Linked DNA regions of Rattus norvegicus. The protein of the gene in region 1 interacts with the protein of each later gene in a pairwise test. Links are inferred from orthologs where the notes say so. Each region holds a gene or a part of one and is shown in the gene's direction. Other genes may lie near its edges.

Region 1 (6,280 bases):
TGTTTGTTTTTTTTTTTTTGTTTGTTTTGTTTTTGTTGTTGTTGTTTTGTTTTTTAAAGATTTATTATTTAATTGAGTACACTGTAGCTGTCTTCCAGACACACCAGAAGAGGGCATCAGATCCCATTCTAGATGGTTGTGAGCCGCCATGTGGTTGCTGGGATTTGAACTCAGGACCACTGGAAGAGCAGTCAGTGCTCTTAACCACTGAGCCACCTCTTCAGCCCCACATTCGTTTTTTTTTTTTTTTTAAAACCAGGTCTAAGAAGAGAATTTCACTCTGTGATGTCACCCGTCCACCTTGCCAACCATTAGGCTACCTTTGAGGATTCCTATCTCTGAGAAACCTTCAGCCAGCAGCAGACCTGGCATGGTTCACACCCTAAGGCCTGGAGTCAGTTCTTTCTTTTGGCTCCCTGACTCCCTCCCTTTGAAGTCTCCTACCTTTACCCTCTTCCCTTTCCTCCTTCAGTTTCCTCCACACTTCGGACAGATTTTTCTAAAATGTAAATGTATCATGAGTGCTGATCTGAAAAGCCATCTAAGTCTCATATGCAGTTAGGGACATGTCTACACTCCTGCAGGGTTTTACCGCCCTGCACTGCTCCTCACAACCACCTGTCAGTCATCCCCTCCCTCCTCCACATCCTCACAGCGTCCCTTTTTTTTTGGGGGGGGGTCTTTTTTTTCGGAGCTGGAGCTGGGGACCGAACCCAGGGCCTTGTGCTTCCTAGTCAAGCGCTCTACCACTGAGCTAAATCCCCAACCCCTCCTCACAGTGTCCCTTAAGCAGACTCGCAGTCACTAGTGTTCTTTAAAATGTTTTGGCTTTTGTTGTTTTTGAGACGGGGTCTTATAGCTCTAGCTGTCCTGGAACTCACTGTGTAGACCAGGCTGGTCTCAAACTCACAGGGATCCAATTGGCTTCTTTTAAAAACACTGTAATTTTTTTTGGGGGGGGGGCAATGATTTGCTGACTAGTTTCGATGGATAGACTTCTTTTAGCAGCTAAGTGAGTCATTCTCCTTCCCAGGCTTTGAGAATTCTTCAAGATCTTATCAAGTTTCTTCTCCTTTGGGAAGTGTTCATCGACCTTCTCTGGCCTCAGAGGCTCCTTCCAGCGCCAGCTTCCTCCCTTAGAGCACAAGTGTAGCCTAGTGTGGTAGGACACATGTAAGGTCCTGTATGGTTGTCTCCAGTCCTTGTCTTAATCTGTTTCCTCCCCAGGTTTACAAAATGTTTGCTCCTCCTAATGGTATGGCAGGCTGTGTTGGGAAAAGTTTAGTCAATAAGGAGGGAGAAGCCATACAGTAAACCCAAATCAAATTTAATATAATTTAGTCTAAAAAAAAGTTTTAGGCTGGGAGTGATGGTGCATACCTTTAATTCCAGCACTCTGGAGCAGACAGGTGGGTATCAGTTAGTTGGAAGCCAGAGTTTCAAGACAGCCAGGGACTCACAGAGAAACCCAGTCTTAAAAAAAAAAAAAAAAAAAAAAAAGAAAAGAAAAGAAAAGAAAAAAGGAAAAAATCAAAGCAAAAAGAAAGATCCTTCCATTTGAAATAATTTTCTTCCCTGCTGACAGGAGTCAATGAAAGGAAAAGTTGAGGCGGCAGAAGAAGTGCATGCTGGGAGCAGGGGCTTGCCTTCTTCCTCCAACCTTGACTTTTCCATTTTAGCTGAGGACAATGAATAAAAACACCCACCTCAAGCCTGTGAGATCCCCACTTGAAAACAAAGAAGGTGGAGGATGTGGTCCAGCTGACAGGGTGCACAGTGCTTAGGTGAGATTCATAGCATCTCAGACACCCAGTTTGGTGACACACTCCTGTAATCCCCGGGAGTGTTGGGTTTAAAGGTTTGCACCACCACCCCTGGTAAGAGATTCCATCTCAAAACAAACCAACCCACCACAGCGTGAAATATAATGAAAACCTTACGATTTCTCCTCCCCTCCCTTCTCCTCCCCTCCCTTAAACTCTCTCTCTCTCTCTCCACACACACACACACACACACACACACACACACACACACACACACACACACACACACACCCCACAAACGCGCGCGCGCGAACGGATATGATTTCCTGGTTGCTCACAAGCTGATCCATAGTGCTTTTTTTTTTTTTTTTTTTCTTAAATTGTGGGGCACCAAGTAACTCCTATCTCTTCTTCTTTGGCGGGTACTGATAGTTCATCAAAACCACCAGTTCCCTATGCCTGAGCGCCGGCCGTACTTGACCCTCTCCCCTCTTTTCTTGGCTTCCAACTCCATCTACAAGCATCCCAAGAATCATGTCTTCGCAGGAGTTGCACTCCTAGGCAATGTGACTGAGCAAGATGGTCCTCTGCCGTAAGCCGAGAATAGGATAGGGCTCCATAGGACCCCAACCCACGTGCTCCGAGACTCCCTCCTCACCGGCCGCCTTCCGGTCGGGCGGAAACTACGTTTCCCAAGGTGCATAGGGGCGGGTCCTTGCTTCGGGCAGGGGCCCCTGGCGGTGTGCCGTTCCTTCGCCTGTTCCGGGGCGCGCGAGCTAGCACGAGAACAGGGCCAAAGACCCGGAATGAGTTTCCGCGCAGTTCCGCCATGCCGAACCTGGATGTGCTTGGCCGTGCCGGGCCAGGACAGGCGTGGGTGGGGGCCTGAATTGGTGGTACTGGGGACAGGCGCTCCGGTCAGCCCGCGTCTTGCTGAGGTCCCCGCCCCGTCCCGGCCGGGCCGGCCCGTCTGTCAGTCACTGGGGCGGAGGCAGCGACCATAGCGGGGCCAAAGCCGGGAGGCGAGCATATCGCGGGCCAGGAGAACGGAGGGAACCTAGCTCAGCCCCTCAACTCTACCGACTCTGCCCCAGACTCACGAAACTGCAACCCTGTGCTTCCTTGGATGTCTCCGTATCTCGCGAAGGGCTCTCTCCAGGGTGATCTCCCAGCCCCCTGACCTCACAGCATCTAGAAGCTCATCCAGACTAGGGTGTTATGGGTACAGGCCGTTGACCCTGTGACCCCTCACGGGCCAGGGCCTCTGTTTCCCCTGTAGGCCTTCCTCCCCTATGACTTTTGATTCAAGGGACAGAGCCGTGACCTCCCACTAGGACCCTTGTCTGAGAGCACCTCACTGAGGCCTCCCTTTTGGGAGCCGCCTTAGCGCGGATCCCCTCCGAAGAGCACATCTTTTGACCTCTGCAACCCCCACCCCCACCCCACTACCACCAAAGGAGGTGGGCAGGCCTCGGCAGCCATGCCCGCCCTGGGCATCCCCTCATCCCATCGCTTCCTGGGTACTCAAGCCGGGGTCTAGCAGGGGGCTGACAGCCAAAAGGGCTGGGGCAAGAGAGAGATCAGGGTCCACCTCCCTGCCAGGCAGGGAGCAAAAATGGAGCGGCGGGAGGAGCAGCTGGGGGCTGCAGGGGCTGGAGCAGCACCAGCCTTGGACTTCACTGTGGAGAACGTGGAGAAGGTATGAGGGCCTTGGGGTGGGCACTTCAGTGACAGAGCAGAAGTTCTGGGGACTGACACTAATGCCAGAGCTCAGGCCTGGCTGGGCTCAGTGCCCGCTGGGATGATGCCCCCAGAGCACCTGGTATTTACCGTCTCTCTTGGACAGCAGTGTTGCAGTGCCTAATGGGCTATTTTTGGCTTTCTGTAGACGCAGGTCCCCTTTCAGATAGATATTCTAGCATCTTAGATTGTTAAACCCTAAAGGGTTAGGGTGCCGAAGGGCTTAGACTTAGGAACTCACAAGATCTGCCATCCCCCACCCCCACCTTAGAAACCACACTGATGCTGAGCTGTCCTGGACCCGACTCACTTTTTTTCAGTCAAAGGCACACAAAGATATCTGGAACTAAAACCGTCTGACTTAGTTTTTCATTCATCTTCAGAAAGGGTCTTTTCCTTATTGGATGGAAGTCAAACCGGTCCTGGGCAGGCAGGAGTGTGTCTGGCTCTCTTGCTTTGTGCTGGGTCCAAGGGGCTTGGCTCTGCTGGCAACTTTACAGGGCCCTTCCTTCCTTACCTACCTGCCCACATGGCTTTCTGCCATGGCCTCCTTCCGTACTTCTCCACTGCCCAGGCTATCTTATTTTATTCTATTCTTCTCCCAGCAGCCTGGAATGCAGGAATGCACCCACCAACCCACCCCCATACTCCCAGGGATGGCCGGAGAGATAGGGATACCTTGCTGGTTAGCAAGGGGCACCCTTAAACACATTTGCTGTTCTTGAGGCTTGTTTGCTTAACAAATGTTGAGAAAGCATCTCTTCTGTGTCTGTCTCCTGTCCCCTTTTGCATCCCTGAGTGGCTGAACCAGGGACAGTAGCCATAACTGGCTTTCAGGGGGGTACAGATTTGGTTAATCCTAGTTGAATGGAGTCCATTTGGGGAACCTGGCCCTTGGGGCTGGACAGTGTTGGCATGGTGGCACATGGCTTCATGTGCTGCCAGGGAGATGAGCCATTGTTTTCTCTCTGCATGAAGTCTCATTGGAATTGGGCCCTGGGGATTCTGCTGCTGACAGCTCCTGGGTAGGCGCTTACTTGGGCTGCTTCTGGCCAAGACCTCTCTGCATCATCTGATTGGAGGCTTACTTGTACTCTCTGAAGACGTTCCCTTCCCTCCCTTCTAGTGTATCTGTTCCAGGGCTACCTGGACTGAAGCAGTTCTTCTCAGATTTCACACTGGCTTTAGTGCCAGCCTCCGAGTGACCTCGGGATGATCCTCGGGGAGCAATGGGAGTTTGCTTGTTGGAATCAATGGGAGGAGCTGTATCTAGAAGGGCCAGCCCCCTCCAGGCTGTTCTGTACTTGTCTCTAGCTTACGTTTATCTCTGTGAAGCCATTCCTTTCTCCTAGGCCTTGCCCTTACATACCTGCCTATGGGAAGAGCCCAGCCCCCACTTTTTCTGCTTTCCAGTGGAGAGTCCCTCTCAGAACCCAGTGGCACTATAAGATGAGAATATGATAGAGCATGGGCAAGATTCAGGTTTTCAAAAGGTCAGCCAAGCCCCAAGATCTCCCTTCCTGCTCGCTCCTTCTCCCCACAAGTCAGGGAGAGGCAGCATCTTGCAGGATCAAGTCACACCCTCTGTTCTGGGCTCTGGCAGGATCCAGAGTAGCCAGCATCTGCTCAGTCCTGTGCTGTCCTGCAGGCGCTGCACCAGCTCTACTACGACCCCAATATTGAGAACAAGAACCTGGCTCAGAAGTGGCTGATGCAGGCCCAGGTCTCTCCACAGGCCTGGCATTTCAGCTGGCAGCTACTACAGCCAGACAAGGTGCCTGAGATCCAGTACTTTGGGGCCAGTGCCCTGCACATCAAGATCTCTCGCTATTGGAGTGACATCCCCACCGACCAGTATGAAAGCCTAAAGGCGCAGCTCTTCACCCAGATCACCCGCTTTGCCAGTGGCTCCAAAATTGTGCTGACTCGGCTATGTGTGGCGCTGGCCTCACTGGCTCTCAGTATGATGCCTGACGCTTGGCCATGTGCTGTGGCAGATATGGTCCGGCTCTTCCAAGCTGAGGACTCTCCGGTGGATAGCCAGGGCCGTTGTCTGGCCCTGCTAGAGTTGCTGACGGTACTGCCTGAGGAGTTTCAGACCAGTCGCTTGCCCCAGTACCGCAAAGGTCTGGTACGGGCCAGCCTGGCGGTGGAGTGTGGGGCTGTCTTCCCATTGCTGGAGCAATTGCTACAACAGCCCAGCTCTCCCAGCTGTGTGCGTCAGAAGGTGCTCAAGTGCTTCTCCAGCTGGGTGCAGCTGGAAGTGCCCCTGCAGGACTGTGAGGCGCTCATTCAGGCCGCCTTTGCTGCTCTGCAGGACTCGGAGCTCTTTGACAGCAGCGTGGAGGCCATTGTCAATGCTATCTCCCAGCCAGATGCCCAAAGGTGAGTACTCTCCAGCTTCCCAGAAAGGGACAGCCCCCTCTATCCCATAAGCATTAATGGGTTGTCTTGTCAGACATTTCATCCTAGGGAGACAAAATCAAGGATGCAGGCGAGACATGGGGCGGACACTAAACAACTAAATTATCTGGTAGACTTAATAAACATTTGCCTGTTCTCTTTCCCTCAGCCAGTCACCAAGTCCTTGGTGTTCTGCTCCTGACCATATTGCAGATCTATTATTTCCAGTTTCTGCTGCCACTACCCTAATCTCAGCTGTCACTGTCTCTTTTCCCAGATTTTAGCAGCACTTTCTCGGCAGCCCCCTGCTCCCCCACCCTTTGTACCCTTTATGACCCACCAGTCAGAGCGACTTTCTGAAAATGAGGCTCTAG
Region 2 (5,638 bases), on another chromosome or scaffold:
TGCGTGTGCATGTGTGCGTGTGTGTGCATGCATGTATGTGTGTGTGTCTGCTGAGTGTGTGGCATGTGTGTCTGTGTGCAGGGTGTGTAGTATATTTGTATTGTGGTATGCATGTGTCTGTATGTAGTATATATATATGCACATGTGTACACACATGTGCAGGAGTCAGAGTTGATATTAGATACCTTCCTTGATTGGGTTTCCCTTATTTTTGTTTTATTTTGAGATCTCACTGTGTAACCTAGGCTGGCCTAGAACTTATTTTATAGACCAGGCTGGCCCTGAAGTCAAGACATTGGCCTGTTCTGTGTCTCAAGCTGACTTGGAATAAAGGTGTACACCACAGTGCCCAGTCTTTTATAAGATGGCTATGTTTATTTATTTGTTGGGGGTGATTTTAGATTTTATTTCTTATTTTATGTGTATTAGTATTTGCCTGGATGTATGTCAGCACCATGTGTGTGCACTCTCAGAATTACGAACAGGAGCCAGCTCACTGGACGAGTGCCACCCCACCACACACACACACACACACACACACACACACACACACACACACCACACGGACACACACACATTCACGGATTCACGGAGACATTGACACTCACGGGCACCTAGTAGAAACATCAATACAATACTGTGCCTGGTCCCCGTGATAAGCTGTTTGCCTTTAATATCTTTTCACGTGTATTTATGTTGTAGGCGGGAAGGGAGAGGCATGTGTATTTTGAGGATGAGTTGCAGGGCTTGGCTCTCCTTCCACCACGTGCGCCCTGGGGATTGGGTCCATGGGGCTTAGCAGTGAGCTCCTCTACCCACTGAGCCGTCCCACCAGCTCAGCGCCTGCCTCTGCCTCTGCACCCACATCAGCGCGCCCCCTCCCCCAGCACTTAGGATGCTCGGCTCACTCAAAGCTTTCTTTTTTTTTTTTTTTTTTTTTTTTTTTTGTTTTGTTTGTTTGTTTGTTTCAGGAGCTGGGGACCGAACCCAGGGCCTTGAGTTCGCTAGGCAAGCGCTCTACCACTGAACTAAATCCCCAACCCCCCAAAGCTTTCTTAATACAAGGCACCTTCCCTGAAACCCACCCGGTTGTATTCTGACATGGTTGTCCAGTTCTGCCCACACAGGCTGCCCTGTCTCAGGGTCCTCCCCCCAACCAGGACTGTGCACTGGGATTGGCGTCCCAGTAGGTCACGAGGCGTTCCTGATCCAATGGTAATAAAGGACCTGGAGGGTGGCCTGCGTATTTCCTGCACTGGCAGAGGACTGAATTCAGTCCCCAGCACCCACTCTGGGCACACACAGCTGCCTTGAACCCCAGCTCTAGGGGTCTGACATGGTCTTCCTGGACTCCCAGGGCACCTGCACTCACACACACGTATGCATAATATTTTTAAGTGATGCCCAGCCATGGTGCAGTACCACTTGGTCCTGGCCACTTTTCTCTGCAGAGAGCACATCCTGGTCTGCCTCTGTTCCCTCCAGCTGTGAGCGTCCAGACGCAGGAAGAGGACCCTCCCGATGCCCAGCTGCTGAGGTTGGATAACATGCTGCTGGCTGAGGGTGTGTCCAGGCCAGAGAAGCGAGGACGAGGAGGAGCAGCGGCAGGCAGCACAGCAACACCAGGTGGCTGCCCAAATGACAATAGCATTGAACACTCAGACTACAGGGCCAAGCTGTCCCAGATCCGACAGATTTACCACTCAGAGCTAGAGAAGTATGAACAGGTGATCTTTCTGCACGCAAGAGTTTGTCATGTGAATGTGCACTGGCCACAGGCAGGTGTGGACACGAGCCCCTCCTCTGTGCAGAGCAGGGACAGCCCGCCGCAGTGAGTTGCTGCAGAGGCGGCTGGTGTCACTGAAAGCGCCTTTCCCTCCTCAGAGGTGACCTGAGTGTGAGCTGTGGGGGTGGCAGATGTGGTCAGCTGTGGAGCCTTACTGCCCTGCACCACCTGGCTGCTGAGTCACAGACTGGCCCATCTTTTCCCACCCCAGGCCTGTCGTGAGTTCACCACGCACGTCACCAACCTTCTCCGGGAACAGAGTAGGGTGAGGCCCGTGTCCTCCGGGGAGATCGAGCACATGGTGAGCACCATTCACAGCAAGTTCAGTGCCATCCAGAGGCAGCTGAAACAGAGCACCTGTGAGGCTGTGATGACCCTACGCTCACGGTTCCTGGATGCCAGGTCAGGGCTGCATGCCACTGGGGTCCCCAAGGGTTGGCCCTTAGGAACAGAAGCAGGATCGGAGTGGGATGGCTCTGGAGTTTGTCATAGTGTTGCTGAAGATGGGACTCAGGGCTTTGCAAGCGCTAACCACATGCTGTCCCTACCACTGAGCCCCAGCCCCGCTCTGTCTTGAGTTTAAGTCCGTCCAGAGCATCCAGCCAGGCCCCACACAGCTTTTTTGGGAGAAGACCCAAAGTACAGACTGCTGGTTCATTTTCATTTGTGTATGTGAATGGCATCAGAGGACAGCCTCGGGTACTGGTGTCCCTCTTCCACCGTGCTTGAGGCAGGTTCTCTCTTGTTTTCCACTGTGACTTCCAGACCAGCTGCCCACTTCCCATCCTGCCCCAGGAGCCCCATAACTACAGACATGCACTAACATGTATGGCTCCCACATGGGTTCAGGGAACCCAGACTCAGGTCTTCATACATGTTCATTACCCACTGAGGCATGTCAAGCCCGATTGCTGTGTCTAAAACTGCAGAAGATGAGGATGGGGAGGCAGCTCGCTCAGTCAGGTGCTCACCATGCGACCAGAAGGACCTGAGTTTGCATACCCAGCACCCACAGAAAAAGCCAGGCATGGGCCAGCAAGATGGTTCAGGGGGTAAGGGAACTTGCTGCAAAAGTCTCAGGACCTTAATTTGACCCCAGAGTGACATGAACCTGCAGGAATAAGGGTCCTGAACGGTGAAGTATCAAGTGGGGCAGGGCCAAGAGGAGAATAAGCAATAGTTGGGGCCAGGAGACCCTGCATAAGTGATGGCTTATGCTAAGCAGGTTTGTCCAGGAATATATTGCCCTATCTACTATTTGCAGAGGGGAAATGGAAGTCTGGGAGAGAGCAAAGTCAGGCAGTGTTGGCAAAGAATACACAGGGTTCTCAGACACGGCTGGTTAAGGACCAATAGCCACAGCCCAGGGGAACAGCCTGGTCCCCAGAGCTGCAGCCTTGGCTTCTCTGAGGCACTGGCCCGGCCTTGCCAAGCTGGGCAGGTACACAGAACTAGCGCTCTCTGTCATCAGATCTCTGTGAAAATCTTGGTTGGTCTGGTCTGGCTTCCCACACCAGAAGTATGCACACATACACACACATTCACACACACACACATGCATGCACTCACACACACACACAATCTTGCACACAAGCACACACTCTCGCACACTCACTCACACATACAGGTCTTTTAAAGCCAAGAGCTGCTGCAGCCAGGCACTGGCCACATGGATAAGGCTGGTCCCTGGGGCCTGCTGCTCTCCAGTCTGCCCAATCACTGGGCTCCAGGTTCAGTGAGAGACCCTGCCTCAAAGAAGCAAGGTGGAGAGTGACGGAGGACACAGCGCATCAGCCTCTGGCCTGCACGTGCACACACACATAGGCTGCCAGGACATTAGGGACACGAGAGTTGTGACTCTGCCCCATGAGAGTGCTACAGACTGAGCATCTCTGTCTGTAGGCGCAAGCGGCGGAATTTCAGCAAGCAAGCCACCGAGGTGCTGAATGAATACTTCTATTCCCATCTGAGCAACCCTTACCCCAGTGAAGAGACCAAGGAAGAGCTGGCCAGGAAGGGTGGCATCACAGTGTCCCAGGTGAGCCCTCCTGCCCTGAGGAAGTTAAGTCTTATGAGGACAAACTCCTGGAGAACTACTCGATGTTGAGGAGGATTGCTGGAGAAGTTACTTAATGTATGATGAAGACTCCCCAGGAAGCTCTTACTGTGGGGGGAGGACTCCTAGGAAAGTAAGTTAATGTGGGAGAAGGGAAGACTCCTGGGAAAATTATTGAATGTGTGGGGAGGACTCCTGGGAAGTTACTGTGTGGGGAGGACTCCTGGGAAGTTACTGTGTGGGGAGGACTCCTGGGAAGTTACTGTGTGGGGAGGACACCAAGGAAGTTACTGTGTGGGGAGGACTCCTGGGAAGGTACTGTGTGGGGAGGACTCCTGGGGAAGTTAATCAATGTGCAGTGCTGGTCATGTGCCTCAACCTGGCTCAGCTCCAGTCTGAGCTGTGCACAGTGAATTAGAATGTTGGTGGGGACTCTGCTCCCTCTCCTTGCAGAGAAGTGTAAGAGTGTCATGGTGTCGCAAGGCACCGGTGTGAGCTCTAGGAGACTGAAGCAGCTCAGGCTCCAGGACGTGTTTGCGGCAGGAGCAGTGGGTGGCATGAGCTCCCGTGGGGGAGTGAGATTCCTGACCCTGTGGCTTGGCAACAATCACCTTTGCCTTCCTTGGAATTCGAGGCAAAGGAGGGAGCGAGCAAAGGCCAGAGTGCAAGGAGAGCATTCCTGAAGGTTTCAGAGTGAGTTCAGGCAGCAGCGCAGTGGCAGGAAGGTGGGGCAGAGCCCTGGAGCAAGGAGTGTGAGCTGCAGAGTGGGCCTGCCCAGGTCTCGGGTCACAAGAGCAGAGCTCCTCTACCTCTGCCACCCAGTGGTGATGGACACTGAGACTGACATTAGTCACCACAGCCTGTCACATGCCCTATCCCTCCTAGCTTCACAGCTGGAAAGGGTGAGTGTCCCGCCCTTAGGCACTGTCCTCAGCCCAGGGTCATAGAGGATCCAGGCACAGCTGCCTGCTCCTCATGTGGCCAGAGCTGAGGGAAGTGCTATCCCTCTGGGAAGGACGGCCAGTGTGGGTGTTTGGGCACCTGGGACAGTGTGCATAACAGGCAGACCCACCCCACCCTCGTGCCCGGGGCTCCTTGTCTTTGGTGCCAGGTCCTCCAGAGAGCAAAGTAAGCCAGGTTCAAAGGCCTTGCCACATTGCAGGGTCTCCTGGGTGACCTGGGCCCTGGGACCATCCCCACCAACTGAGTTCTAGAAGCTCCACCCCACTTTGTCACATCCCCTAGTAGGTGTCAGGACTAACGTGGCCAGCCGCATTAACTGAGGTTTTGAATTTGGGGTGCAAGTGAGTAGGCCATGAGGTGCACCTCAGAAATCAAGAGGAAGGAAGCAAACATGGTTAGGGCACCTCAGGCTGAGGAAGCCCCAAGAGGAGCTGAGCTGAGGCTGAGGTGGGGTCTCCCTGTGAAGACAGTTTCTTGCCAGTTACGGAGTCCTCGACTCCCTCTCAGCAGTGCCCAGACGCCTGACTTATCCACACTGAAAGTCTGTTCTTCGTTTGAGCCGAGCAGTTGGGTAGCCTGCGTCCCAGCTACACAGGGAGGTCACTCGAACCCAGGGTCCCATTCCCTCTGGGTAACACAGCTAGATCCTCATCTCAAAAAGAAAATACAGGGCTGGGCCTGGCAGAGCATCCCTTTAATCCCAGCCCTCAGGAGATGGCAGGCGGATCAAGGATAACCTGGTCTACACAGACAGTTCCAGGACAGCCAGGGCTACACAGAGAATCTCTGTCCCGAGGGGGCAGGTCCTTTTCTAGAGGACCTGAGTTCAATCC

The links.
Region 2: the proteins of Ipo13 (region 1) and Pbx4 interact in binary tests that used the Homo sapiens proteins (3 or more experiments, as listed by UniProt). The link is inferred for Rattus norvegicus from reciprocal best matches to the Homo sapiens genes IPO13 and PBX4.

The regions. Positions count from the first base shown.
Region 1 is NC_086023.1:136,735,937-136,742,216, reverse strand, and holds the start of Ipo13 (importin-13), read left to right. Parts: upstream 1-2,738; 5' UTR 2,739-3,378; coding exon 3,379-3,462; intron 3,463-5,151; coding exon 5,152-5,888; intron 5,889-6,280. UniProt on the Homo sapiens protein: Functions in nuclear protein import as nuclear transport receptor. Serves as receptor for nuclear localization signals (NLS) in cargo substrates.
Region 2 is NC_086034.1:19,592,172-19,597,809, reverse strand, and holds part of Pbx4 (pre-B-cell leukemia transcription factor 4), read left to right. Parts: intron 1-1,485; coding exon 1,486-1,727; intron 1,728-1,997; coding exon 1,998-2,188; intron 2,189-3,688; coding exon 3,689-3,824; intron 3,825-5,638.